Linked DNA regions of Caenorhabditis elegans. The protein of the gene in region 1 purifies or fractionates together with the protein of each later gene. This does not show direct contact. Each region holds a gene or a part of one and is shown on either strand. Other genes may lie near its edges. The genes, in order: asp-14, Y47G6A.21, dct-16 and gst-27.

The links.
Region 2: the proteins of asp-14 (region 1) and Y47G6A.21 fractionate together in Caenorhabditis elegans (co-fractionation; one large-scale study listed by BioGRID). This does not show direct contact.
Region 3: the proteins of asp-14 (region 1) and dct-16 fractionate together in Caenorhabditis elegans (co-fractionation; one large-scale study listed by BioGRID). This does not show direct contact.
Region 4: the proteins of asp-14 (region 1) and gst-27 fractionate together in Caenorhabditis elegans (co-fractionation; one large-scale study listed by BioGRID). This does not show direct contact.

The regions. Positions count from the first base shown.
Region 1 is NC_003284.9:6,442,303-6,450,349, forward strand, and holds asp-14 (Peptidase A1 domain-containing protein), read right to left. Parts: upstream 4,363-8,047; 5' UTR 4,305-4,362; coding exon 4,208-4,304; intron 3,393-4,207; coding exon 3,264-3,392; intron 2,999-3,263; coding exon 2,862-2,998; intron 2,816-2,861; coding exon 2,420-2,815; intron 2,375-2,419; coding exon 2,215-2,374; intron 2,160-2,214; coding exon 2,075-2,159; intron 2,027-2,074; coding exon 1,930-2,026; 3' UTR 1,883-1,929; downstream 1-1,882. Other genes in the region: K10C2.7 (uncharacterized protein), read right to left, coding at 800-922, 967-1,131; fah-1 (Fumarylacetoacetase), read right to left, coding at 4,530-4,820, 4,925-5,178, 5,304-5,459, 5,506-5,750, 6,244-6,470, 6,523-6,606; grl-6 (Ground-like domain-containing protein), read right to left, coding at 7,734-7,916, 7,960-8,047.
Region 2 is NC_003279.8:3,554,934-3,563,088, forward strand, and holds the start of Y47G6A.21 (DeHydrogenases, Short chain), read right to left. Parts: upstream 4,875-8,155; 5' UTR 4,864-4,874; coding exon 4,699-4,863; intron 4,096-4,698; coding exon 4,003-4,095; intron 3,636-4,002; coding exon 3,456-3,635; intron 3,399-3,455; coding exon 3,292-3,398; intron 3,229-3,291; coding exon 3,165-3,228; intron 2,470-3,164; coding exon of another isoform or gene 2,300-2,469; intron 2,241-2,299; coding exon of another isoform or gene 2,108-2,240; intron 2,064-2,107; coding exon of another isoform or gene 1,682-2,063; intron 1,614-1,681; coding exon of another isoform or gene 1,424-1,613; intron 1,354-1,423; coding exon of another isoform or gene 1,002-1,353; intron 949-1,001; coding exon of another isoform or gene 852-948; intron 801-851; coding exon of another isoform or gene 648-800; intron 1-647. Other genes in the region: Y47G6A.22 (DeHydrogenases, Short chain), read right to left, coding at 5,061-5,219, 5,273-5,336, 6,314-6,420, 6,472-6,651, 7,605-7,837, 7,890-7,911.
Region 3 is NC_003283.11:20,495,241-20,502,199, reverse strand, and holds dct-16 (DAF-16/FOXO Controlled, germline Tumor affecting), read left to right. Parts: upstream 1-3,142; 5' UTR 3,143-3,191; coding exon 3,192-3,204; intron 3,205-3,957; coding exon 3,958-4,217; 3' UTR 4,218-4,276; downstream 4,277-6,959. Other genes in the region: dct-14 (DAF-16/FOXO Controlled, germline Tumor affecting), read left to right, coding at 1,706-1,771, 1,825-1,941, 1,995-2,147; B0250.5 (putative 3-hydroxyisobutyrate dehydrogenase, mitochondrial), read right to left, coding at 5,029-5,226, 5,772-5,889, 6,855-6,959.
Region 4 is NC_003280.10:15,162,140-15,168,883, forward strand, and holds gst-27 (glutathione transferase), read right to left. Parts: upstream 3,570-6,744; 5' UTR 3,531-3,569; coding exon 3,392-3,530; intron 3,292-3,391; coding exon 2,801-3,291; 3' UTR 2,751-2,800; downstream 1-2,750. Other genes in the region: ptr-20 (SSD domain-containing protein), read left to right, coding at 1-46, 123-358, 1,025-1,333; gst-26 (glutathione transferase), read right to left, coding at 1,726-2,216, 2,266-2,404; gst-28 (glutathione transferase), read right to left, coding at 4,132-4,622, 5,115-5,253; gst-29 (glutathione transferase), read right to left, coding at 6,454-6,744.

The DNA.
Region 1 (8,047 bases):
ATCTGACGCGCAATTTGTTTTGTTTAAGTGGAAAACATCATATTTGGCGAGCAATGTTTCATATCAGTTAAAACATCACGGTATTTGTAAAGTTTTAACACGTAAAGCTGAAATAAAGTACTAGCATGTTTTGGACACTTTTTTAAAATATTGCAACAATAAACTAATTGTTTTAAAGCAAGTGTTTTCAAATTGTTTCCTTTTGCTGCATTGGCTCTATTTTCACACATTCCGAAATGTCGACGATGACAAAGTGCATATTCAAATTTTAGAGAAGCAGTTAAAAAGTATATTTTGCAAATCGTATTTGTTCCGTGAAATTTATCATTATTCGGTGTATATTCAATATGTGTTGAAATGCTCGATTATTCATTATTTAACATCTCATATAGTGTCAACAACGAAGAGAATTAGTTGCAATTGTGATCAGGATTGAGCATATTATACAAATTTACAATTTTGTTCACGATTGTTGCGACTTCGTGCCGATTTTTTTTGTTGCATCCTTGAGAAGATTCCATGTGTTGATCTAAGCAGGTGACAATTGCGTCTTGATTTTGACGGAGAACGTCCAACTCTTTTAGAGTATTTCTATTTGTTAATCCATAATTGTTTGAGCAAGAAACGTATTGGTGATATAGCTCGTCCTGAACAATCATTTTACATACACCAAAAAAACCATTTTAAAAGTACCTCTTTCCAACAGTCACTCGGACTCATTTCTGTGGAAAAGCTATGAACGATTTCAGTGATTTTAGAGGTAATTTCATGAATTTTTATTTGTGCACTACACACATTTTCATTGTTTTTTTGTACATAATGACATCCATCTCACTACATTATTAAGTGAAAGCAGCTCTTCATGAAGAGTTGGTTGTCTTGTTGAGTTGTTTTGATAGTTTTGGATAATCGCCAAACTTTTCTGAAATATTTTACTGTCACCAACTTATTTTCTGGGAAACTTACTGAAAATGAGCTGCCGCAATTTTGGAATTGAGTTTGCTCCTTTACGTCTTTACATTCGTAATTTAGTTGGTCTTTTATAGCAGCCATGTTCACAATGTCGGTTGCTATGTCAACCACTCTGGCATTAGCTTGAGCTAAAAAAACCGCAACAAGTATAATTAGCATGGTGAAGATTTTAATGAATTGTTGCAAGACAGGTTCTTATATAGTTATGTGTTTCAAGCAGTATTTATGAGACAGTTTGAGTCACAATACAAAACAGACAATGTAACAAATAAATCGTTTTGAATATGTCGGGTGATGTTTGATGATCTTTTTTATTAAATGGAAAATGTCATTTTGTATTTTATGACAACCATACAGTAATTGTTAGATGTGAATGTTTACATTAAAAAATGATCATTCGATACAATGAGTCAAACTTCGTCAGTCATTATCCAATAAGCTTTAGAACAGAATAATGATATGTTTTTACTAACATTTCTACTGATAATTTTTAAATAGAAAAATTTTTTAGTCCCTTTTGTTTGTTTGACGTTATTTGGACCGACCGGTTGCACATGCAACAGCGAATGCTTTAACTAGCCTACTATGTTTAACTTCTTCCAACCGCCCTATGTAGAATCTGCTTCTAACTACATAGTAGGCAAGTTAGTTCGTTTCAACATTCAGAAAATGATCAGTTTTGGAAAGTTTAAGATACTTTCTTCGAAATCTTTGTATATTTGAGAATATAAAACGTTCTGAAAGTTTGGGAAAGTTTTTGAAACACTCTAGAACTTTGTAGAACATTACTATGTGTAGATCAGAAATACTATCAAATATGTTCTTAAACCCATTCCCAACTATCCCAATAGTCTTACAATGTTTTCAGAAATTTCTCAAATGAATCTGAATATGAACCGCATAACGGCACTTTTTAAATTTAATGATTTATTTTTATTCCACTTTCAAATATTAACACTAATCTTGGAGAAGCGCTGGAGTGAACCCGACTCTTTGCATGATTGGATCGAAATATGTGCAACGTCCACGATACAATGGAAGACCGAGAATGATTCTGAAAAATTTTTGCATGATTCAATCCATCTTCTCAATCATTCCTTACCTATCAGTGGTTGGAATAATTTGGAGTCTACATGTTCCGAAGAAGCTAATAACAAGATCTCTTTCCGTAATTGAGACTGTTGTACCTGAAAATAGAGCAATTATGTAAAACAAGTGGAAGGTACACTGAAATCGACATACCAGAAACAAATCCAAAAGTGAGGGTGATCTTAGTGTTACATGGAACAATTGTTGGGTAGATAGCATTCATAACGTTTGTGCTGATGCCAAGGGAGTCAAACACCTGGCTAATGTAAGTTTTTGGAAGTCCAATTTGGGCGGTGGTGGTGTCAAGGTAAGTCTGAAATTTATATTTGTTGATACATAAGAGATGCAATAAACTCACTTGAATGTACTTGTTGTTGGAGTTGGTGGCGGATGATCCTACAACTTTGAAGGAAGACATCGTGAGTTGGTATGCATATGCAGAAGCCAATGGGACGTATGTTGGGTTTGGAGCACAGTGCACTGGATCAAATCCTCCGTAGTAAATAACTCCGTGGGTTCCGAGATCATCAGTTTGGTTGAAGTGCTCGAGCCAGATGGAGTAGAATGTGCCCGAAATGTCTCCAGCGTTAACACCTTGAACGAATGGTGAGTTTCCACCGATTTGCGATGAGGCTGTGAATCCCAATCCCAAAATTCCATCAGCACCCAATCCATCCATCAAAAGTCCGAGGTCGGTAGCTTGCATAAACTTCACGCCTGGAATGGTGATCAAATCAGTTTTGCGGTCTCCGATCTGGAAAAAAATTGTTAGGACTTAAAAAACAAATTGAAAGTATTACCACAACAGTGTCTTTTGCATCAAATCCTTGGAAAGTTCCAAGATTATTCTTGTACGTGTACTTATTTCCATATGCATAGTAAGACGACGACTTTGCTTGGTTGAATCTTCTCTTGTTGTAGCAATTATTTGCGGTCTCTGAAACATTTTCCAGTTTGTATCTTTTTCACTCTTATCAGTAGTGTGGAGTTTTCAAAATTAGGAATGTTATGTGCACTAAGTGATAGTCTTTGACCGATAATCAACATAAAAAACGATTTTAGTGCCGATATAATAGGGCAAATTGTCAGCAAAAGCTGACAAAAACTGTCATCATTTCGTGATTATGTTCGAGATGTTTTATACATTTAAAAGTCGTAAAACTATCAAATTGCAATCAAGAAAGCGATTGGTTGAAACTCACTGCAACTCATATCTGGAATAACAATGTCAGCGGTCGAAGTGTCAATGACAACAGTGAAAAGTTGTCCTGGTGTTCCCATGGTCAAGTTAGCAACGAAGAAGGTTGAGGTTTGCTCCAGAGTTTGTCCTCCTGGAATTAAACTTCAGTTTTGAAAATCTAAGGAACTTGTGTATTATATACCAAAAGTAATTTTCAGTACAAAACAATTCACTAGTGGAATGTAATAGATTTAGAAAACCATTATTCCTAACAAGGGAAGGCTCTGAACTCGTTATCGGACTTCGTTACGCCACTATATACATTCGATAGAGAATAGTTACAGATGATCACTCCAAAAATTTAGCTGCTTCAGAGCAGGTTTGATCAAGTTACGACATTTTGAAAGTGCCAAAATACCCCTTTTTAAAAATTCCAAAAAAATCAAAAAAAAAAAGTTTTTTTCTAAAAGTTGATATAAAATGTTTTCAAATAGTTGGAAATGATGGAAAAATCATACCACACAAGTTTCAGTTCATAATTCTCAAAACAACCAATATATAATTGGAAATCAACCGCAACATTGTGTTTGTAAGTTATAAGCTTTATTCTAAGTTAAATACATTCTACTCAATGTCGTAAAGGAAATAATGTTTGTTCATTCACTGTACATTTTATGTGGCTTCGGGATATATATATACGTGCTCTTAAAACAACTTACCGCTCTCCACTATTATTACTCCCAGTTACGTGTCTATCCCTATTTTGAATAAAATATAACGTTAATGTACCATTAAATGTTCATGTTCAATCAAACGTGATCGAAATTTTTATACGCTTCGGAAAATAATTCAAAAAAAAAATCAAAAATAATGCTTAAATGTTCATTTTAAATTTTGTAAAGGCTTCCATTTACAAACACCAAATTTCACTTTATCTGAAACAAATCTGTAAATTCTCATACTCACCTTTGGTAATGTTGGTAACTGCAGCATGAACTTTGAAAGGAATCACAAAAGCTGAGGTCGAGGCCACAAAGGCCAAAAGCAAGATTGTCTTGATCATGATTGAACTGAGAATGATTTCCAAGCAACCAGCTCTCCTATTTATTCGCTCATGCTTTGAACTGATAACATAGAAACCAAAAAATCGTGACAAACCCCTATCATTTTCGACACTGCACACTTCCACTTTCATCACTTTTCGTGGGCTTCAGAACTTTATTCGACGAGATACTACTAACAAACGAGAGAATGAAACAAAAAGCAAAACGATTTAATTACGATGATTTTAGATATCGGCTGGCAGGACTTTTCCGCGGCACTCTCCGAAACCAATTCTGACTCCATTCTTTTCACAAACTCCAGAAAGGTTGACCTCATCTCCGTCCTTTAAGAACTTTCGGATTTCTGAGCCAACTGGAACTTCTTTGGCTCCGCGCCACGAAAGCTCGAGCATGGATCCATATGCACCTTCTTCTGGTCCAGATACAGTTCCTGATCCCAAAAGATCTCCAGCGCGGAGGTTGCATCCATTGACGGTGTGGTGAGCAAGTTGTTGTTTTAGAGTCCAATACAAATGCTAGAAATTACAGTATTGTAGTTGAGAAAACCTTAACGAGCGTTTATGATCCAATTTACAGTGAACAGTGTAGATAATATCGTTTCTACTAAACTTGAACATACCTTGAAGTTAGTTTTACAGACAATATGGTCCACAGCATCTCCTTCTGGACGGATACTGACGGCCAAATTGATGTCAAGGGTAAATGGGTCATCGTGATGGAGATATGCTGGTGGAACTGGATCTTGTACTGGATTCTCAACAAAGTATGGACGAAGAGCTTCAATTGAGACGACCCATGGAGAAACAGTTGTGGCAAAGGATTTAGCAAGGAATGGGCCGAGTGGAACGTATTCCCAAGCTTGGATATCGCGAGCTGGAAAAGTTTTTTTTCGGATGAGTATGGAGCAAACTTGAAAATAACTACTGTTGAATTTTCTTGTCACCAAAATGTCGAGTTTAAATGTTTTTGTTTGATATTTAATTAACATCGTTACTCACCACTCCAGTCGTTCATGAGCACAACTCCAAAGATACGATCCTCAGCCTTCTCGATTGGAACACGAGTTCCCAATTCATTTTCTGGACCTCCCACAAAGAACGCCATCTCGAGCTCAAAGTCCATAAGCTTTGATGGACCAAACGATGGAACCTCAGCTGAAAGCGGACACATTTGCATTATTGGTGCAAATCTAAATCTTACCATCTGGGGCCTTAGTTTGTCCAACTGGTCTTTTCAAGTCTGTTCCAGATACAACGATTGATGAAGCTCTTCCGTGGTATCCGACCGGAAGCCACTTCCAGTTTGGCATCAGAGCATTTTCCTTTCCACGGAACATGATTCCGACGTTGGTGGCGTGATGGATGGAGGAGTAGAAATCGGTGTAATCTCCGATTTGAGCTGGAAGGTGCATTGTAGCATCGGATTGAGCGACAAGAGCCCGGCTTCTGTAAATAAAAACATAAGAATATTATTACAAAGTTTCTTGGTTGTTTTAAACAGAGTTATATGTAAGTTGTGCGCAAAACGTACAAAGCTTCTAATTACAGTATGAGATTTCAATTTATAAATCAAAAATTAATATAAAAATGTAGGTTTTTCTCGATTTTGAAATAGATTTTTTTAAAAATAATGCCTACAAGTCGCCAACAAAGTTTAACGATATATTTAAAGTCAAATGAAGTATTTCAAAAACTTTGACGGGTTTCCAGGCGTTCTCAATAAAATAATTTTTTTCAGATTGACCGAACATTTTCACATACTTCTATATACATTTCAACTTGCCAACTTGCTGCACAGTATTGATTCAACTTTGCAATTATAAACTAACGATAAAAATTAAAACTTGTGAAATAGTTGTTTAGATTTGGTTAGTAGATTATCAGACACACTTTGTACTACTTTTTAACTTTTTCAAATTTGTTTTGCCAACTTATTCACCTCAAATGAGCGTTATCCCTAAGAACAGCACAATCCTCTGAGAGCAGTTGTTGGATTCTTGCACGAGCTTCCAACCAGGCTGGACGTGGCAGTGCCATGAACGCGTTCAATGTGCTCTGCTTGAAAACATCCTGATGTGCCTTCAATTGAGGTCCGTCAAAAAGATTGGCAATTTCTGCCAAGTTGAGGATTTGATCTCCAATTGCAACTCCAATGTGGCGGGAAGACTGAAAATATTTAGTTTAATTTTGCTTTAGAAATAATTATTTATACACTTACGTCAGCCTTTGTTGAGAAAACACCATACGGTAAGTTTTGAATTGGGAAATCCGAGTTTTGAGGAACAGAAACGAAGGATTTCATGATTTAGCCTGCAAAGCAATACAAGTTTTGAAAAATGGAGTTGAGTAGACAGCAGTCTGTTATGTCTCCGAAACTGTACACGCATGCGGCGTTGAAACAGAAAATAGCATACAGGTTGGAGAGGGTGCTAGTGACAAATACAAAAAGGAGTCGTACACGCATAGGCCAAGGTCGATACACGACTAAACGACCACCAATAAAAACAAAACGATAACCAAAAAAAATGACTGCACACAGACAGTGACAATGACAGATGTGCACCACTGAAACCGCTATATAAGGTCTCACAAATCTAATTGAAAAGATAAGATGATGATAGTGACGTCAATTGGATAAAACAATAGAGTATATCAGATAAGTTTTGACAAGAGAGAGAAAACTACATTGGATGCAAATTGAATTGCGAAACAGTCACGTGATGATTTTTTCTTGAATGTTTGGATGGCATTATTCTATAGTTGTTTGTTTGCATTGGCAATGATACTGTTTCATGAATAAAAAGCAAGTAGGAGTATGACGATTTTAAAGAGTGGAGAACTAGTGTTTTTTAGAGTTGCTTATGTTTATAATATAGAAATCTCAATTCCATGAAGATAAATTGCTACTAAAACGCTTTTTATATCAGAAGAAAAACGGTCTCTAGCAATTTGTATCTTAGAAAACTCTTACCACCATTTCGAGTAGAGAAAACGTTTCACAATCGGATGTAGGTTTTTAACCTGTAGATTTCAGATCACCACAGCCTGCTGAGCAGGTCAAAAGTTGTAACTTAAAGGTGAGTTGTATTGTTAAATATTATCGGTAATTGATAAACAGGTACGGCGAGTGAAATGGTCAAAAAAATATAAAAATAATTTATTTCTATAATAAAGGGTTGTAATACACAAGAAACATTTTTTAAGGTTAAACATTTTGAAAATACAAACACCAACAGCGATGAACTATTGAATTAACACTTTCTCTACTGTCGTTGAGTATAAGTGTTAGTTTCAAACTTTTTATATCTTGTTGGATTTTGCTTTTACGAAATCAAATTGAATTAAAAACTTTCAAAAAATTAATTTATTGAAGCCAGTAGTGGACAGAAAAAGCAGGAAATACAGACAAAAAAAAAACACCAAATAAGTTTATTGCAATGGTTTGAATGCATAACAGGTGACATCTTCCTTAAATGCTTGGCAGAATGTATCGGTATGAGCTATGTAACTGAATTCTCCTGTACCACAAATAACGTTCACCTCATGGCCTAGTGTTTCTTCGGCAATTTTCTGAATGTTCCTCTTTGATTCACTTGCATCTTCGCTAATATTCTGAAAAGAGAGTAGGCTTGACGTGCAAAACGAGTGTACTCACATCAAGGATAATGTTTTTCAGTTCGGAACTGTTACACGAAGGGTCGATTGTTTTGGCTGCAAATGCGGCGCGTCTCACACTTTTGTAC
Region 2 (8,155 bases), on another chromosome or scaffold:
GAACTAGTTCTTCTATTTAGCTCTAATTAGTTTTCCGATTCTACTAAATAGGTCTATTCCTTCTAAATAGAAGCTAACACGTTTATCTGAGATTAGGAAACTCGCAGCATTGGCATTGTGGAGGCACGATGCACACATCCCTAAGAAAGTTTCCCCTAAATGCCAGGTATATTTTCCAATAGAAATATATAAAATATATATGTGTAGTTTGTGTGAACATCTTCAAACTAATTTTCTGGATCACATGTCTCGTTGTTGTATTTTATACGTTTAGTATTGTGGCACCATATTACTGAAAGCTGAAAGAGACTAGATTGGCAATTATTATATATCAACTACATCATTCATACATATATAACATATAAGTGAAGATATATATATCAACCTGTTTTGGCAATGAGGCTGTCTGAAAGTAACAGGTTCGCGAAGAGAAACTGTTTTTGCACGCCGTCCGCGTTCTGACCGCGCCCCATCCGCGCCCATTCCGCACTCCTTCCGCACCCCTTCCGCGCCCCGTCCGCGCAACACGAACGACAATCCGTTATTACGCTTGCAGTTTATAATTTTTTGGCACATTTTCGATAATTTTTATTTAATTGTTTCCAACATTGTAAAAATATTATTTTCTTTTTGTTTTGTACAGTAACATGCCTAAAGTGTATAGTTTCAGGGCTTTTCTTCAAGTTAAATATGGTGACCGTGAAATTTTCACCGATTGTTCCATCAATAACAAAAGTATCTCTAAAATCAAGCTTTTCGGAATTGTACGAGTATCGTGGACTTATCGATTAAGGAAGAAGGTAAATAAATTGCCAAAAACATGTAAATCAAATAATTCAATCAATTTTCAGATGAAAATTGGATTGTGTTGGAAATCCGCCAGGCGAATGTCATTTGTGTCGTCTACTCGGTTACAGACGAGTCCACTGTTGATGGAATTCAAACAAAGTACGTTTTCATTGAAATTATCTGTTAAAAAATCAATAACTTTGAATTTTCAGGTGGCTACCCTTGATTCGCCAGTCCTTCGGAGAGTACCATAAGACTCCGGTCATTTTGGTAGGCAACAAATCAGATGGGACTGCAAATAATACTGATAAGATTCTCCCCATAATGGAGGCAAACACCGAAGTCGAAACTTGCGTTGAATGCTCGGCTCGCACGATGAAAAACGTCTCAGAAATCTTCTACTACGCCCAGAAAGCTGTGATCTACCCAACAAGGCCATTATACGATGCAGACACCAAACAACTGACAGATCGCGCCAGAAAAGCACTGATTCGAGTCTTCAAAATTTGCGATCGAGACAACGATGGATGTCTTTCTCCGAGTGAACTTCAGAATCTCTTCTCAGTATGCCCGGTTCCAGTTATTACCAAAGATGTCGGTTAAAATATAAAAAATAAAATACATTTTATTTCAGCTTTTGATTGCTTATCCCTCGTTTTTCCGTTATTGTCCGTCCAATTTTGACTGATTTCCGATCACTTCGGCACGTAAAAGTCCGCGAAATTGGAGATTTTCACTAAATTTTATATAAAGGAGGAGAAGCGGACCTAAAACTGCACGAATTTGCACGAAAAAATGACAATTCAATAAAAATATAATTCCAGGCAGGTGGAAATTTTGAAAAAAAAGATCTTCATTAAAAATTCATTTTATTCAGTTTTTGTAATTTCAGGTCGTGCTGGGAATACACTCGACTCGATCAGAGTGACTCGTGAACGGAAGAAGGATCTAGAAAACCATGGAACCGACCGAAAAGTCTTCCAATGCCTGGTAGTCGGAGCCAAGGACGCTGGAAAAACAGTCTTCATGCAATCCCTAGCAGGACGTGGAATGGCTGATGTAGCACAAATAGGACGTCGTCATTCTCCATTCGTTATCAATCGTGTCCGAGTGAAAGAGGAGAGCAAGTACCTGCTTCTGCGTGAAGTTGATGTTCTCTCACCACAAGATGCGCTGGGGTCCGGCGAGACGTCGGCGGCCGTCGTCGCTTTCCTCTATGATGTCTCGAATTCATTCGCGTTCTGCGCCACAGTTTATCAGAAATATTTCTATAGGTGGGTTTTCAAGATCCAATTCCCAATAATTTCAATATTTACAGAACAAAAACGCCGTGTGTCATGATTGCCACAAAAGTTGAACGGGAAGAAGTTGACCAGCGTTGGGAAGTGCCGCCGGAGGAATTCTGTAGACAATTTGAGCTCCCGAAACCAATCAAGTTCTCGACGGGCAATGTAGGCTAGCTTATAAGCTTATAAGCTTCAACTGCGGTTTCACCGTCTTAATATTTCAGATTGGTCAATCCTCTTCACCGATCTTCGAGCAGCTCGCCATGATGGCAGTTTATCCACATCTCCGTCGTGTTTTCTACCTCAACGACTCGAATCTTCTCTCCAAAATCACATTCGGCGCTGCCATAGTAGCTCTAGCTGGTTTGCAACACCAGTCTCTCGCCGTCTAGGATTCAATTGACCTGCAGCCAAGCTGTCTTCAATCCGTTAATTTTTTAATTTTATTTTTCCATTGTTCGTTGTTGTAATAAACGCAATTCTTATTAATCTAAGATTTCAATTTTAATATGAAAATCGGCGGGAGCGAGAAAAAAATCGAACCGGGCGCGTAGTGTGTGCGAAAGAAATGCGCTCGGCGCGCGAAAATTGTGCGACTAGATCGCGAGACAGTAGTCTAGTCGCGCCCCGTCCGCGCGCCAGTCGCACCCTCGTCGCGCGCCAAGGGAGCCAAACTACCGAGTACAGTAGTCATTCAAAGAACTACTGTAGTTTTCGCTACGAGATAATTTGCGCGTCAAATATGATGTGCAGTACGCATTCTCAGCATTTCGTGTTCCCGTAATGTCGCTGTGTAGAATTTGACCCACAGAAAAGGGCGCGCAAGGAATAATGGGCGGAGTTGAAAATGCAACTCCGCCGCACTGTTTTTCGTCTATTTTTCCGCATTTTTAAAAATCAAACAATCAATTTATCTTAATTTGTCAGGTTGAATAATCGAAATCTTGCTTTAGAATTACTTTAATTATTTGATCTTGCTGTGAATATTTTAAAAAAACAGTTAAAATTTTAATTAAAATAGAATCGTGCGGCGGAGTTGCGCTTCCGACTCCGCCCATTACTTCTTGCGTGTCGTTAGAATAGACTTACTGCCGCATATGTAGCTTCATCCTGCCCAGATGCTCGATGAATGTTGGTTACAATGACTCCTGGGCTGAAATTTATTTTAATTATTCTCAATTTTTGGGCTCTTAATATGAAAATATTTAAATCTCACCAAACAGCATTAACACGAACTCCATTCGGAGCCATTTCCAGAGCCAAACATTTTGTGAATTGATCTACGGCCGATTTGGACATACAGTAATATGTGACCCCAGCGAACTGAAAATTGCGAATTCGAAATATATTTTTTTTTAATTTCCAAAAGAAAAATCATACAGGGCACGGTCCATTAATACTGCTGACATTGACAACAGTTCCTTTTGTTGTAATAATATGTGGAAGAGCTGCACGTGTCAGGCGGATCAAACTACGAACATTCACATTCATTAGCTCATCGTAGACTTCAATTCCAGAATCGAGAACTGGTCCGGCACGCAGAATCCCGGCCGAATTGATCTGAAATTTAGAATATTTTAAGGGTAGAATGGGAAATTTCTCGAAAAAAAAACTATGGATCCTGGAAAAGTGAAGTTTTTTATTTTTCAAGTTTAAATTTTGAATAGTATTGACTTCATAAAATTGAAAAAAAACCTATTGTAGTTCCGCAATTGTTCCTGGGATACGAACTTAAAGGCGCACGCAATTATCTAGTTGGGTCTCACCGCGCAAAAACATTTTTCGTGGCAAGACCCAACCGAATAAATCCGTGATCCTCTATGTACGCGTTTCTGAAAATTTTGTAAATAATAAATGGATAAACTCTAAATTTCCGAAAAACTTTTCTCTCGATAGTTTCAAATTGTTTCGAACTGAATATCCTCACCAATGAGTCAATTCTTCCGAATTTTTGTACAGTTGCATCCACAATTGCTTTGGGCGCCTCATCAGAGCTCAGCTCCACTGCAGTTATCAGAATCTGGAATGAAAATCGATTTTTTAATTGATGTCGCTATTTTTTCCACCTAAAAACGTTCAATCCCCTTTTTTTGCAAAATTTTGCGATTTTTGGTCTCGAAACGACATAATAAAATTCATAGCTACAGTACCTGCAAGTGTTTGTAATTTTTAATGATTTTTAGTATACTTCTTGATATTCGATGAGTTTTAATATTTTTTTTTGTATGTGTCAAGACCATGGCGGCGGTTTTTTTTAATTAAAAAAATAATTTTTTTTGTTTTTTCGACAAAAAAACGGTGTTTCCAAAAATTACAAACGAGGAAAAAAAATCGAAATTTTTTTGTGATAACTGCTATCATGAGAACACAAAATTCTGAGAATGCGTAATGCACAACATAATTGACGCGCAAAATATCAAAACTACAGTAATTCTTTAAATGACTACTGTAGCGCTTGTGTTGATTTACGACACCAGAGTTACAGTAGTAATTTGAAGGATTACTGTAGTTTTCGCTACGAGATATTTTGCGCGTCAAATATGTTGCGCAATACGCAATCTCAGAATTCTGTGTTCCCGTAATACTGTACTTTCCGTCACAGTTCCTAAAATATAAAACTCACATCATCAGCCGAAATTGCACCCTCTGAAATACATAGTGCTGCGACTTCCTTCAAAGAATCCGTATTTCTTCCGGTCAGCGAGAGTTGGTACTTTTTTTTCGCGAACAGAAGAGCCGTGCCTTTTCCGATTCCCGAACTTGCTCCGGTGATGATGGCGACTGGCATTTTCGGATACTCTGAATAAATTCAAAACTGAATCAAAAAAAAATCGATTTTTTTTCAAAAAAAAAAAAAATTAAGCAAGGAAAAAACCACTATAAAGGATTCAATAAAAACACAATTAAAAAAAATACATGTATCTCTCTATTTATTACATGATAAAAGTTCAAAACAATCTCAATATGAGACAAAAAAGCTAATATTTATCTCGGATGCATGATTCCGCGGCCTCCGTCAACACGAAGAAGTTCTCCAGTAGTGAATGAACTTTTCTCAGAGGCGAGGAAATAGATTGCCTCAGCAACTTCATTGGCATCACCGGGACGGCCGAGTGCGTGTGTCGTTTTACTACGTTCCAAGAACTGAAAGAAATGATGATATTTATTTGTCAAGGTCAGTGCAGCAGGTTTTATACCGCAGAATATGTTGTCTCGTCTTGACCAGATGTACGATGCAGGTTGGTCACGGTGACCCCTGGGCTGAAATTTTTGGAGAAATGACAAATTTATATGGGTTTATTAAGGGAACACAATATTTTGAGAATGCGTATTGCGCATCATATGTGACGCGCAAAATATCAAAACTACAGTAATTCTTTAAATGACTACTGTTGCACTTGTGCCGATTTACGGGTTTTTTTATTTATCAAAAGATTATTGAAAATGAGAAAATAATACGAAGAAACGAAGAAAATAAATTAATTTCCAAAATCGAGCCCGTAAATCGACACAAGCAGTACAGTAGTCAGTTAAAGGATTACTGTAGTTTTGATATTTTGCGCGTCAAATATGTTGCGTAAGACGAATTCCCAAAATTTTGTGTTCCCGTAATACGTGTGTTGTTAGCGTTTCATTCGACAAAAAATGAGAAAGTTAGCGATTTTTGCACCAAAATACGGTAACCGGTCTCGAAGCGATCTTTTTTTTTTCAATTCAAAAGTGCGTGCGCCTTTAAAGGAGTACTGTAGTGTACTGTAGTTACTTACTCCTAGTTTTTGCGAGATTTTTAAAGCAATTTTCCATAGTTTAGCTCCTGTCTTTTAAAAAATTCGTTTTTATTCAAAAAATATAAAAATGCATCAAAATTTGAACAAAAACAAGAAAACCTATGAAAATTCGGCAAAAAGTTAGAATTTTCAGGAAATTTTCCTAGTTTTTTTTTGTGATTTCGTTCTTACTCATATTTTCCGATAATTTTTCGATTTTTCGAAAAAAAAAAAGCCAAAAATATTTTCGATTTCAAAAATAAATATTTTTCCGATTTTTCGCAAAATATCTTGAAATTTTGACAATTTTTCTTCTTTTTGGAAGAAATGTATATGTTTTCTTATTTTTCGAATATTTCTTTAAAAAACCTAAAAACCGAAAAAATCGTAATTACAGTACTCCTTAAAGAGAATCGATCGCTTCGAGACCTGGCACCGTAGTTTTTTGGCAAAAATCGCGAGAAAACTCACCAAACAGCATTAACACGAACTCCATTCGGAGCCATTTCGAGAGCCAAACATTTTGTGAATTGATCTACGGCCGACTTGGACATACAGTAATAGGTTACATTTGGGAACTGAAAATTGCGAATTTGAAAATTATTTTCAACAAAAAAATAACATCATACAGGGCACGGTCCATTAATACTGCTGACATTGACAACAGTTCCTTTTGTTGTAATAATATGTGGAAGAGCTGCACGTGTCAGGCGGATCAAACTACGAACATTCACATTCATTAGCTCATCGTAGACTTCAATTCCAGAATCGAGAACTGGTCCGGCACGCAGAATCCCGGCCGAATTGATCTGAAATTTAGAATATTTTAAGGGTTTAATAATTCAAGAATCGGTTGGAGAGTTTTTTTAAATGTTTTCGTTATCCCCATATTTTCTTTTTACAGGTTGGTGCAATTTTTCTCGAAAATAAAAATGAGAAAACTCTTTAGGCAGAAATTTGGAAAATTCGAAAAAAAAAGTATCTAAAAAAGCGCGCAAACTTTTTTCTCAAAAAATTTTAAAAAATAAAAATTCTAAGATCTCTGAATCTTAATGTGAAATGCGACAAAAATAATTTTAATTTTAAAAAAAATAATTAAATTTGGGTGCAAAACTGAGCTACAGTACTCGCATATACTACAGAATTTTTTCAAATTTTCCTTCGATTTTTATATATAAATTTTAATTTTTCAAACAGTTTTTTATCGAAAAGTATAAAATTCGATGAAAATTCCGCAGAAACAAAAGAAAATACAGTACTCTTTAAAGGCGCGCACCTTTTTACAAGTTGCAAAAATTAGTCGTGGTGAGACCAGATACCGTATTTGTAACGCAATAGTAGTCGCAAAACTTCACATTTGGATAATTTTCTGTGCATTTTTTTACAAAATTCGCAATTATTACGTTTTCAAAAAGAATTTTGAACTAAAATTTTTTATAACGGGAACACAAAATCCTGAAAATGCGTAATGCAACACATTTGACGCGCATAATATCTCGTAGCGAAGACTACCGTAATTCTTTAAATGACTACTGTAGCGATTGTGTCGATTTACGGGCTTTATTATCTTGATTATGAGAATCAAGCCCGTAAATCGACACAAGAGCTACAGTAGTCATTAAAAGAATTACTGTAGTTTTCGCTGCGAGATATTTTGCGCGTCAAATATGTTGTGCAGTACGAATTCTCAGAATTTTATTTATTTTTATGTTCCCGTAATAGTTCTAAATTTTATTATAACTTTCCAAAAATAACCCCCCACCAATGTGTCAATTCGTCCAAACTTTTGCACAGTCGCATCCACAATAGTCTTCGGAGCTTCTTCTGAAGCCAACTCAACAGCGGTCACCAGTACATCATTCTTATCACTTCCAGCACTGACAATTTGCCCGGCGAGCTCATTGAGAGCCGCCACATTCCGTCCGGTAAGTGAGAGCTTGTAGTTGTTCCGGGCGAGAAGAAGAGCCGCCGCACGTCCAATACCAGAACTTGCACCTGGAAAAGAGGGGAGAGGAATGGAATTTCAAGTATTTAGAGTCATTATTACCTGTGACAATTGCGACGGGCATGGTTGACCTGCAAAATCAAAATTAAAATTAAAATTGAAAATTGAAAATTGAAAAAAAAATCTTTGAAACAAATAATAAACGGCATCCTAAAAAAACGAGACCCAGAGAAAAATACAAATTTTGTTTTCTCCGCTCCTGATAACACATCACACATCAGGAGTTCAACTTTTCCAAATTTTTTTGCGCGTAAACTGTGGTGCATTAGGTACATGACTCAATGCATCACATTTGACGCGCAAACTTT
Region 3 (6,959 bases), on another chromosome or scaffold:
TGAGGTTAGGTGAAGTGATGTTACTGCTTACAGTTAACGTGTCAAAACTTTGAAAAGTTTCACACATGTTAACATGTTTTCATTCTCTACACCTGTTTAAATTTAACGTTGTGAGTTGATCAGGTGCACCGGTTTCCCGAAAAACTTCACCGCAACCCAATACATTTCAACGATGACTGACGCGTACCAAGGTGGAAAAGAATCTAAAAAATATACAATTTACTATATCATTGATGGTTCCATAAAGGTTAGTTGGAACCATTTTTTCACTTTGATAATTTGATTTTTAGGCTTGCCTCGCAATTCTTCTTCCCATCCTCACAGCTCTACTAGTTGGACAGCTGAGAAAAATGATCGCTCTGCGGAAAAAAACGTCTTCGTTGAGAAATGATAATGGAAGGCAGGTTTTTCAAAATTAGGCCTTGCTTTCTTTAAGAACAATTTTCAGTCAATCTTCGGATTAAATCACGAAGCTTGTAATTCTGATGGCAATTTCATTTATCACTGCTGAATTGCCAATTGGGATTCTTTATATCTCCACAGGGTTGCTCGCTAGTCATCCGGCAATTGTGTAAGAGAATATAATAATAGTCATTAAACGGGCGGAGTCTAATGGAATTTGCCTACAAGTTGGTCAAACTTCGCGCTAAATTTTTTGGCCAAAATCTTCTAATAAATAAAAGGCAAACATCAAAAATTGTTTGAAAATTTAAACAAGTCGAGATAATATTTTCGGCGTTTCAAAATTTCATCAAGCATTCAATTTTGTTTGAAATTTTTGGTTAAATTTCAGGCAAAAAGTTAAAGAAATTTCTAGTTTAATAATGAAATGTTGAGAATTTTTTGTAAATTTTCTAAATTGAAACAAAAATCCAAAAACTTTACACACAAATTTATAGGACGAGAATAAAGTTCAACAACTGAGATTAAAGTTCTAAAATTTCCAAACAAAATATATATTTTCAATTCAAAATAGAAATATGGAATTATTTTTAAAAAACTGCAGTTTTCTAATTTCAATTTTTAAACTTTTTTTTCTTAAAACTTCAGCAAAAATTAAATCAAGTTTCAAGTATTTTCTGTAAATTTCAATTTATCACTTCTTATTAGAATATTAGATTATCCTTTTGGTAATTTTTTTTAATATAATGGTATTGCTTCATCAAAATTTATTTTTCAGAACTACCATACGCTATTTGATGGATATTTTCACGTCATTTGTTGCCATTAACGCCACCGTTCATTTCTTAATTTGCCTCGGCGTAAACGCTCATTATCGAGACACTGTTAAAGAGCTATTCCGCTGGAAATTTGAAAAATTGAGGAAAACTTCAGATGACTCAACTATGAATTCTCAGAGTGTTGGCCAACCTAGAATTGTCGCTTGATCAATTTTTTTTCAAATTTTTCTACTTTCCAATTTTTATTTTGAACCCCGTGTCCTCTTATTATTTTTGAAATTTAATTCCGCATCCCATCAAGATTACCCTCCGACCAGAACCTCGTCAGACCCCCACCCACACCAGCGCACGTGATAATTAATCATAGTATACCTATACTTGTTGACTATATCCCCCTTAATTCCCATGAGAAGCATCTCATGTGTCTTAATTGAGGGGTACACAGCGAGTTGTAAAGAGGTTGTCCTTAACAACCAAATTTCTGAATCTTTTGCAAACTCATTGCTTTGAATTTCACAACTAAAATGAACCCCGATGCTCCGAGTGTCGAGGAGAAGCTCACCGTCGATGAGTGCTACGTTATTTCCAAGGTGAGCTGAGATTTATGCTAACAAAAAAGCTCGAGTGTTTTTCTTATTTTCAGGAAGATTGGTTTGAGCCAATTTTCTGTAAGCCGAAGCTTATCCCGTTGAAGACTGTGAAAATGCGAGAGATCGAGAAACGACGCAATGAAAACATGGAGAGGGTCAAGGCGATAGAGGTGAGTTTTTTTTTGAGAAACATATAATTTACTTATTTACATTCTTTTTTCAGACAGCTTCAACGTCAGAACAAAAGAACCCAGAGGTGGTACCCAAGGAGCCAAAACCAGAAAAGCCTCGGAACCCGGAAGAGCTCAAGAAACAGAATGAGTTGAACAAGATCGATTTGTGGATCGCCGACGAAGATCCGGCACGTCGCAAGTGACTATTGTCTACTTGTAAACAATAATCCTAACAATCCTATTTTTAACTCCAAACTTTTCGCGATTTCAATTTTCAAAAAACATTCCAGACAACCTCTAAACCTACATGATCATCCTAGTACTTCTTGGCCCAAGCGCTATGTCCAAAAAGTCAGGTCTACCCTATGTACTGCCGTGTAGTCAAACAAGCTTCACCATCATGCCATTCACCTTCTTCCCATCATTTCTCCTGCCCTCTTATCTCTAAAAATTGTGATTTCTGATTATTTCAATAAATAATAAATATGTTTTGCGTTGAAATTCTGGTCATTGAGATTTTTTAGGTGGTCTGTAATCATGGGCTCTTAAAACTTTGATACACCTGAGCTTAGGCCAAAGCTAATCCTTAAAAAAAAGCTAAGCCTAAACGCTAAACCGAAGCTATTGGGATTATTCATGTGATGCCAAAAAATGCACAAATGATTTTTATACAGTTTTACCCTATCCCTAAAAACGAAGGCATTTTTTTTAATTTTTCAACATTTTTCGACATTTATCTACATCGGCCGACAGCCCGCTTCACATGAAAAATGTAGAAAAATGTAGAAAAATGCAAAAAAAGCATGTGTTTTTTTTACATTTTTCTACACACATGAATAGATAGGGGAAAAATGTAAAAAATACATTTTTGCATTTATCGTCATCTCATGAATAACCCTATAAAGCCTAAGCCTGGGCCATAGTTTTTCTGGAAAATATCAGACATTAATCTCTATTTGCCACATGGATTCCAGCAAGTTTCCACGTTAAAATCTTCGCGAGCCGTCATATCACTAAAATTCCTTATCTACATAGTGTTCTTGACACATCATTAAATTAGTTGCTCGCGGAGCAACAACTGCAAAAACGGTCTTCGTTCGGAACACGTAAGCATGCAAACACGCGCTGGAAGAGCAAAGTGCATGCGGTCACAAACATTTTTTCTCGGTATAAAATGCCAAGCGGGGTGCCACATTTCGGCATAGGCATCAATTTTCACTGCTGCTGCTGCTGAATCAACACTAAAAATGGCCGAGAAACGTGAGTTTTTGGATGTATGCTTATTTTTTCAAGAATTCATGTTTTTTGTTCAATTTGAAAAAAATTTAACAATAAGACCGAAAATGGCGAAAAATTGAAATTTTCAATTTTTGTTGATTTTTCGGCAGAAAAAAGTATGTAATTCTTTAGCAAGTTATTGTTTTGATTTTTTACATGTAATTGTACAATAACCTCATATTCCAGATATTATAGGATACAACACCAAAAAATGATTTAATTTTTTACATTTTTAGATGTCAGGCTGTCCCATTTTGGTGAGATCTACAAAAAAAGCGGGAATTTAGACGCAGACTTCTCAACTGATTTTACATGGTTAAGAACATGCTGACACGTCACATATTTTTGGAAAAAAATTCCCGCATTTTCTGTAGATCAAACAGTAATGGGCAGTCTGACACCACACGCTTCCAATAAAAAAAGTTTATTAAAAATATCGGAAACTACCCGAACATACAACCAACTTGAAAAGTACAGCACACACGTGGTGTCAGGCTGTCCCATTACGGTTTGATCTACAAAAAATGCGGGATTTTTTAACCCAAACAAATGTGACGTCAGCACGTTCTTAACCATGCAAAATCAGTTAAGAAGTCTGCATCTCAATTCCCGCCATTTTCGAAGATCTAAGTAGATCAAACCACGCAAATTACCTAATAAAAATCCAAAAATTGAAAATTTTCGGATTTTTTGTAGGTCTCCTAATACCCTACTAATATGTAAAAAAAATTTCAGTCGCAAAAGCCAAGGAGGAGATGACAGCCGCCGGTCTCTCGCCAGAATCCATCGAGGGAATTCTCAAAATCGCCGCCACTTACAAGAAGAAGGACGATGAGCCAGAACGTGATGCTGCCACTTCTTTGGCAATTATCACAAAAATGATCGGAGAGACCAATGAGTATATTAAGGGACAATCGGAAGCCGATCAGAAGATCTACGCTGTCATTATTGAGAAGAAGAAGGCCGAGCTTATCGAGGCCGCCAAGAAGCAATAGATTTTCTTTTTGTTTTGAAATTTTATTCTATTATGAGCTTGTAATAAAATAATTTTTGTAATTTTAAACTTGTAATGGTCACATACTTTTGGGAAAAAAATTCCCGCATTTTCTGTAGATCAAACAGTAATGACACCACGTATTTCTAATGAAAAAGTTCCTTTAAAATTTCGGAAACTGCCCGAACCTACTTGACCTACTTGAAAAGTAATGTACATACATGGTGGCTGTCCCATTACGGTTTGATCTACAAAAAATGCGGGATTTTTTTGCCCAAAAAGTGCACGCTTTTATCCATGCGAAGTCAATTGAGAAATCTGCATCTCAATTCCCGCATTTTTCGAAGATCGAAGTAGATCGAACCACGCAAATTTAATTCAATTATGAGCTTGTAATAAATAATTTTTTTGTAATTTTGAACTTGTAATGGTCTTTCCAAGTGATTTTTCATGGAAAATATATTCTTGTAAATTTTTTAAAAATCTCTATTTTTTCTTATAAAATCAGCTTTTTTTTCGATAAATTTTTGTGACAAAAATTGATTTTTTAAGATTAATTTTTCGATTAAAACCCTGAAAATTTTAAATTTTTTTTCGAATTTTTTCGATTCGATTTTTTCCCAGACAGTTTTTCGAATTTAAACAAAAAATTCATAAATTTCTATTTTTTTCTACATAAAAAACACAATTTGGCACATAGAAAAAAGGCGGAAAAATCACATAAAATATGCTTAAAAATTGGAAAAATCCTGAAAATACGGGGCTTCAAATCACATAAAATATGCTTTAAAAATTTCAGAAAAAACCGAAAATTATGAGTTTTGTTTCTTCAAAAACTGATAGACGACACCGAAATCCTTTGCCTGGTACTGTGGATCACGAGCCAGAATACGGTAGATTTGATGAGCCAGTGAGCCCATTGGAGTTGGTGCTTGAGTATTTGTTGAAGCATTTTGAGCCAATGAAAGGTCTTTTGCCATTAGAGTCGTTCCGAAGCCGCCAGCATAACCCTGAAATTGGAAATTTTAGGTTGATCGGCGGAATTTAGGAGACTTTCATTGAAATTTTTGAATGAAATTTCTGGCAAATCGGCGAATTGGCACATTGCCGGAATTGAAAATTTCCGGCACACCGGCAAACCGGCAATTTGCCGAAAATGAAAATTTCCGGCAAATCGGCGAAACGGCAAGTTGCCGGAATTAAAAATTTCCGGCAAATCGGCAAACCGGCAAGTTGCCGAAATTGAAAATTTCCGGCAAATCGGCAAATTGAAGGAATTGAACGTTTCCGGCAACTCGACAAACCGGCAAGATGCCGATTTGCAAAAATGTTCCAGATATTCGATTTTTTTTTTGAAAATTTCAACTTTTTTGAATTATTTTTAAATCAAAATTCCTATTAAAATCATCAAAAAATTGGAAAGTTATAAATTTAAGCTAAAAATTCAAAAAATGGCGAAATTTAATTTTTTAAATGAATTTTTTGAGGACAGAATCAAATTTTGAGATTTTTTTTTTGCATTTTTACGGATTTTCAGTCAATTTTCCATCCATACCCTGCACGAAGGGATGTTTTCAATGACTCCGGGTACTGGATTGTACGTGTCCGACGACCAACACCTTCCTGACGATGTATTCACGATTCCGGCAAGCGCTTTCGCGTCGAGACCCATTCTGTAAAAAAAATTTTGTTGAATTTTTTAGAAAAATATATTTAATTTCAATTTTTTGCGCTGGTCGTTTTACTTTGCTGATGTGGGAAAAAAAATGTTTTTCAAAATTATTTTTGACGAAACTGTTTTTTTAGAATTTTGGTGGGCGGCATTGTTTCGTCAACAAATTGGGCAAATTGGCAAATTGCCGGTTTGCCGGAAATTTTCAATTCCGGCCATTTGCGGGTTTGCCGGAAATTTTTAGAGGGAATTTTTTTCTGAAATTTTCAAAAAATAAACTGATCAAAACTAAAATTTGCCGAAAATTTTGCAAATTCGGCAATTTGCCGGTTTGCCGATTTACCGGAAAATTCAATTCCGGCAATTTGGCGATTTGCCGATTTGCCGGAAAATTCAATTCCGACAATTAGCCGATTTGCCGGAAATTTTCAATTCCGGCAATTTTCCGATATGCCGGAAATATTCAATTCCGGCAATTTGGCGATTTGCCGGAAAATTCAATTCCGGCAATGTGCCGATTTGCCGGAAATTGTTAATTCTGGCAATTTGCCGATTTGCCGGAAATTTTCAATTCCGGCAATTTGGCGATTTGCCCATTTGCCGGAAAAAAAAGTAATGAAAAATATTAATTTTAATCAGAAAACTTGAAAAATTGCCTGGAAACGTTTTTTTTTTCAATTTTTGAAATGGTTTGAACTTTCGGCAAAAAATTGAATTTTCAGCAATTTTTGCTTCAATTTTTTTTGCATTTTCCAAAATCGTTCACCATTTCCGTATTTTCGGCGTTTTTCGAATTTTTATAATTTTCAGAAGTTTTCTGGACAATACTAAATTTATAAAGTATCTTGCCATTTAAAAAATATCAAAATTATCAAATTTCGAAAAAAAAACATATTTTCAAGAGAAATTTCAGATTTTCAGCTATTTCTACTCAATTTTTTCTAAATTTTCAGATTTTCCACATACGAGATGCCTAAATTCATAGTCTCCGCGACAGCGACCATCTGGATTCCCAAAAGCATATTATTGCAGATTTTGGCGGCTGTTCCGTTGCCGACGGCTCCCAAATTC
Region 4 (6,744 bases), on another chromosome or scaffold:
ACGGAAAGTGCAGCTTCAGCCCCATTCAACTTTATATCCACGTCAGGTAAAGAAACTCTAAAAATTATCGTTTTTTTTTCCGTACCAGAATATTAAAACTTCCAAATATTTGTTTTTTTCAGTATCCGCCGTCGTACTAATGTCCCTTCTAGTGTTGGTATTTATCATGAATTTCGAGGCAATTATTTCTGTAGCAGTGTCAATTGTATCAATATGTCTCGGAATAGTTGTGTACCTCCATTTATGGAATGTGAATCTCGATGCAGTTTCACTGATATCTATGCTAATGTCAATTGGATTTTCCGTGGACTATTCGGCTCATGTTTGCTATCACTACTTTGCTCATGTGCATGAGGATGTAAGGATTTTTCAGCTTAGTGTGAGGGTATCGTAGTGGTACTATAGTAGTACTGTATGACTACTGTAGGGGCACTGTAGGAGTAGTGTAGGAGTTCTTCTGTGGTACTGTGGGAGCACTGTAGTTCTGTAAAAAAATAGTTTCAAAAAACTTAATCTACAGTAGTCTAAAATACAGTAACCTGGGATTCCGTTTCTACGAGGAATCTCCGTTTCATAAAGAATCACAACACTAAAAGTTGTGTGTGGCTGACTTAAATTAGCTCTACAGTAATCCCATCAAGCTAAGCCACTTATTAAGACGCCCGAGCTACAGTACCCCTTACTGTACTGGCATTCTAGTCAAATACTATACTATAAAATTGAAACATGCATTAACCCTACAGTACCCTAATCTATGATCTTATTTTTAAACTATTGTACCATCACGTGGTGTCAGAGAGTCCCATTTCGGTTTGAAATACGTAGATCTACAAAAAATGCGGGAGTTGAGACGCAGAGATTTCAACTGATTTTCAACACATTTCTCTTGGCGAAATATCCCCGCATTTTTTTTGTAGATCAAACCGTAATGGGACAGCCCCACACGATGTTTACATACTTCACACTACATCCACCATACCAAACAACCGTACCCCATTTTCAAACCAACTTCATATTTTTCTAGGAGCAACTCTGGAGATCACATAACTACGCCGAGACTCGTGACCGTCTTCTAAGCACCTTCCGCGGAGTCGCCTGGCCAGTAATGCAGTCCGGGCTCTCCACGATTCTTGGCATGTTCCCATTGATGTTTGTACGTGCGTATGTTGTAGCAGTATTCTGGAAGACTGTGATCCTGGTCGGTATACTTGGAATGCTTCATGCTCTCATTCTGTTGCCAGTAATATTCATTTTAACGCATGACATTAAGCTCTTATTCCGACGGAAACGTGCAGTTGCTCCTACTCCGCATTCGATGGAATTGGCTTCATAGAGCGTTTTGTTGTAGTTTGTATGTTTTTTTGAAAACCCAGGGTATTTTCTTTTCCATTGATTGTATTATCATCTAATACGGGTTGTTCACATCTCCATTGATTGTTTGATAACATGTTTGAAATAAAATTTTCGTACTCAATAGTAAAACAGTACACAGCTCTATGTTTTAGGTTACATATGAGTATGAAATAAATGAAAAGAGTGGTTCGAAGCACTTGAGAATTATCTTCGGTACTCAAGCAGCACTGTTACTGTAGCGAACAGAACTATGAAATTTTTAGAAAATTAAATTACACTAGTGAATTTATATTCCCACAATAATTTGAATTTTTACAAGGAGATATTAAAACTATTTATTGTATTCAATTATCAAACAATTTACAACAAACTTTAGTACTGAGTATCTGGGCGAATCTCGACCCACTTCTTGATAGCTGGAATCGCATAGACCTTCTCCCGAAGAGCAACCAACTTTGGCTCTCCCGCTGGAGTGAATAACTGATTTTTGTCCAAAGTTGTGATGCACTCCACAACTACAATATCGGCAAAAGTGAGCCCATCTCCAACCAAGAATCCTGACTTGCTCTTCTCCAGGATCCCATTGATGATTACGAAGAATGCATCTCTAGCCGGAACGACATCTGATTGCATGATCTTTGCAATCTCCTCAGCTGGCTTTCCAGCGGCATGTGCTTTTCCGACTTCTCTGAAGGATCCCATGAAATCCTTGAATTGGTCAACGATGGCATCTGCCCAAGCTTGCTCTTCCGGGGTTTTTCCAGCATATCCAAATTTATTGGCAAGATAGCGGATGATTGCAGCAGATTGTGGAATTTCAAATCCATCGACGGATAGGACCGGGACTTGTCCGAGTGGAGTTTCTGAAATACTTACTTTGAGTTTAGTGTTTGCCACATATAAATGACCTACTTTCTTTCAGCTTTTCCCATGTTCCATCTCCATGGGTCATACGGAAATCCTCAAATGGAACATCGGCAAGATGGAAGAGAATACGAGCAGCTTCTCCGTAGCCACGAGCGTTGAAATAGGTGAGTTTGTAGGAAGGCATAGTGATCTGTCTGTTTTAAATATAGGTATGTGTGATAGTGTGATTCCGATATCAAACAATTTTTCGAAATAGCATTGGAAAAATGCAGTCTTTCCGCATAGTCTTATCAAATATTTGACAGAAAAAGTCAAACCATGATTAATTTTTACAAAGTATTTCAGAGAAAAATAACAATTTAAGGTCAATTGTACAATTTTAAAAAATGTATCCTGGACCATAAAATTTTTTTAACTGTAAAATTGAACAGAACTGAGTTTAGCTTCAATCTAGATAGAAAAATAAAGTTAAAAATAGAATTAACACGTTCAGAATTAACGTATTTGAAAATAAAATGAGATTACATGAACATAACATAACGATTTATTGAATTAATATATCAGCACATTTAAAACAAACCTAGTTCAGGGTATCTGGACGAATCTCAACCCATTTCTTTATTGCTGGAATCGCATATACCTTCTCTCGAAGCGCGACCAATTTTGGTTGCTCCGATGCAGTGAAGAGCTGATGTTTGTCCAAAGTTGTGATGCATTCCACAATCACAATATCTGCGATGGTTAGACCATCTCCAACTAAAAATCCGGACTTGCTCTTCTCAAGGATCTTGTTGATTATCACAAAGAATGCATCTCTTGCCGGAACGAGATCTGACTGGATGATCTTCCCGACCTCCTCGGCAGACTTTCCAGCAGCGCTTGCTTTTCCCACTTCTTTGATTGATACCATAAAATCCTTGTATTGATCGACGATAGCATCAGTCCAGGCTTGCTCCTCCGGGGTTTTTCCAGCATATCCGAATTGCTTGGCAAGGTAGCGGTTGATTGCAGCGGATTGTGGAATTTCAAATCCATCAACTGATAAGACTGGGGCTTGTCCAAATGGAGTTTCTAAATAGAAACAAAAAATAATGTTCAATTTCTGTCTTGGCTACTTTATTTCAGTTTTTTTTAAATTTTAATATGGCGTTTCAAGGTCGCTATTACTTACTGGCTTTGAGATTTTCCCATGTTCCATCTCCAATGGTCATTCGGAAATCTTCAAATGGAACATCGGCAAGATGGAACAGAATACGAGCTGGTTCTCCATATCCACGCACGTTAAAATAGGTCAGCTTGTAGGATGGCATTTTAGTTAAATGAAAACCACAACCAGACAGTTTTCTTGTGTGATTCTGCAAGCAAAATGATTGGGAAAAATTCCTCCGCAAAGTGTTATCAAACTGTCGTGGAGATCAATAAACCAAAAACCAAGAAATGGATGGGGGGGGGGGGGGGGAGGTGGGAGAAGAGTCAATAAAAATTCGGACGGAGAGTCAATAAAATCCAAAATTCTACTTTAAGTTAAAATAAAAAATGTCGAACGAGGTAAAGTGCCCGCAATCCAATGAACGATAATCGAAGGAGTGGACATCATTCCGTTTTCTATTCGCCTCTTCCATGCACTTGCAATAAACAGAACTTGCAAGTGTTTGGTAGAGAGGCGGTGAGAGGGCACGAACCTGTGGCAGTCGGAACGAGAGACCAACTCGTTATCCAGCAGGCCACGCGTGCACTTGGCAGAAACGGTGTTGTTGAGAATGATGTTGAGTGCGGGTTTTAGAGGAAGAAGGCAGCTGCGATTGAGAGGAAAATTGCAAATAAGAATGCAAATAGTGGTGCATTTTAAAAATTTATTCGAATTTGTAATTATATTACTTCATTGAACAAAATTTCAAGAAAATTTTCGATTTAGTACTGAGTATCTGGACGAGCCTCTACCCACTTCCTGATAGCTGGAATTGCATAGACCTTCTCTCGAAGAGCAGCCAAGTTTGGTTGCTCCGAAGCAACAAACAATTGATTTTTCTCCAAAGTAGTAATATTCTCAGAGATGACAATGTCCGCGAAGGTGATACTGTCGCCGACTAGGAATCCTGACTTGCTCTTTTCAAGAAGCCCATTGAGAATCTTAAAGTACGAATCTCTAGCTGGAATCACTACTTCAGAAGTGATCTTTGCAATTTCTTCCTGAGATTTTCCAGCGAAATGTGCCATGATACGTTCGCGGAATGATCCCATGAAATCCTTGAACTGATCAACGATGGCATCTGCCCAAACCTGCTCTTCTGGGGTTTTTCCAGCATATCCGAATTTGTTGGCAAGGTAGCGGATTATTGCAGCAGATTGTGGGATATCAAATCCATCAACGGTCAGGTAAGGTACTTGACCAAATGGGGCGCCTGAAAAAATATATATATGTGAGTAAGTATTTGGAGCATTCTAAAAATTTCAAAATTTTCAGAAATTTTCCAAAAAGCTCCAGAAGTTGTAAAAGTTTCTAGAAAAAAATTTTTAGATTAAAATTCGAATCCCATCCAAAACTTCATCGTGAAAAATAATGTTTTTTTTATTGTGAATTTCCCGCTAAAAAAGTTTCGAAACAATTACATATACATAGCCCTAAAACTATTTTATAAAAAAAATTGATTTTTCCGGCGAAATTTTTTAAATAATTTTTTGTTTTAATTTGGAATGCCTTTTTTACGAAAAATGATGCCTACAATTTTTTGAAAAAAATTTAACCCATCCAAGACCGTGTGCTCAGAAAATTTGGCTTTCCCATTATTGTCAGAACTTTTTTTAAAATTTGAATGCCATCCATAACTTCTTATCAAAATATCGCGCTATAATAAGATAGGCAGGCAATCGGTAGGCCCCAAATCTCCACTAACCGTCTTTAAGCTTCTCCCATGTTCCATCTCCGTGTGTCATACGGAAGTCCTCGAATGGAACATCTGCCAAGTGGAAGAGGATACGTGCGGCCTCAGCGTATCCACGAGCATTGAAATAGGTGAGCTTGTAGGTAGGCATTTTTGACAACTTTTCTGTAATGAAGTAGTATTTATACGCAAAAAAGGAAAACTGGAACGCCGAAAATAATTGGACAACAAAATAATCGCATCAATTATTTTTCTGTACAACTTTGCCAACCCTTTTTATACTATATGTTTACCGTCTATGTCTCTGCCTTCACGTGTGCTGGCAGTTGATGCTTGGTTGTGTTTGAACAATTTGAAACGATTGATCTTTTGCCGTTTCCTGCCACTTTGGTTTTTGGTTGTGGTTTTTGGTTTTGTTGAAACTAGGACTTCAAAAGCCTGAGCCTGAGCCTGAGCCCAATTTGACGGTTTGCCGATTTGCCAGAAGTTTTCAATTCCGGCAATTTGTAGATTTGCCGGGTTTTCGGAAAATTTAATTCCGCAATTTTCCGGTTTCCGATTTGCCGGAGGTTTTTAATTCCGACAATTTGCAGATTTGCCGATTTGCCGAAAATTTCAATTCCGGCAATTTTCTGGTTTGCCGATTTGCCAGAAGTTTTCAATTCCGGCAATTTGTAGATTTGCCGGTTTCTCGGAAAATTTATTTCCGCAATTTTCCGGTTTCCGATTTGCCGGAGGTTTTTAATTCCGACAATTTGCAGATTTGCCGATTTGCCGAAAATTTCAATTCCGGCAATTTTCTGGTTTGCCGATTTGCCAGAAGTTTTCAATTCCGGCAATTTGTAGATTTGCCGGGTTTTCGGAAAATTTAATTCCGCAATTTTCCGGTTTCCGATTTGCCGGAGGTTTTTAATTCCGACAATTTGCAGATTTGCCGATTTGCCGAAAATTTCAATTCCGGCAATTTTCTGGTTTGCCGATTTGCCAGAAGTTTTCAATTCCGGCAATTTGTAGATTTGCCGGTTTCTCGGAAAATTTAATTCCGCAATTTTCCGGTTTCCGATTTGCCGGAGGTTTTTAATTCCGGCAATTTGCAGATTTGCCGATTTGCCGAAAATTTCAAGTCCGGCAATTTGCCAGTTTGCTGATTTGCTGGAAGTTTTCAATTCCGGCTATTTGCCTATTTGCCAGAAAAAATCGTTTTCCGCCCACCCCTGATTTGTGGTCTCGCCCGTTATTTGTCCGCGGTCCCCGCCAAAATAAAATTGTTCTAATTGTAAGTATAAAAATAGTTGCATGAATATTTCTGAATTTATTTCAATTTATTCACAAAAGAAATCCAGAAACTAAATTAATAAATAGTATCTGGTCGAATATCCACCCAGCTTTTGATTGCCGGAATTGCGTAGATCTTCTCCCTGAGAGCTGCCAATTTCGGGTGCTCCGATGCATCGAAAAAATGAACTTTCTCCAGGTTGGTAAGACTTTCCACCACGACAATATCAGCAAATGTGAGCCCATCTCCAACGAGAAATCCTGACTTGCTCTTTTCAAGGAGGTTTGTGATGATTTCAAAATACGAATCTCTAGCAGGAATTGCAACTTCTGAGGCAACTTTGGCAATTTCCACATCCGATTTTCC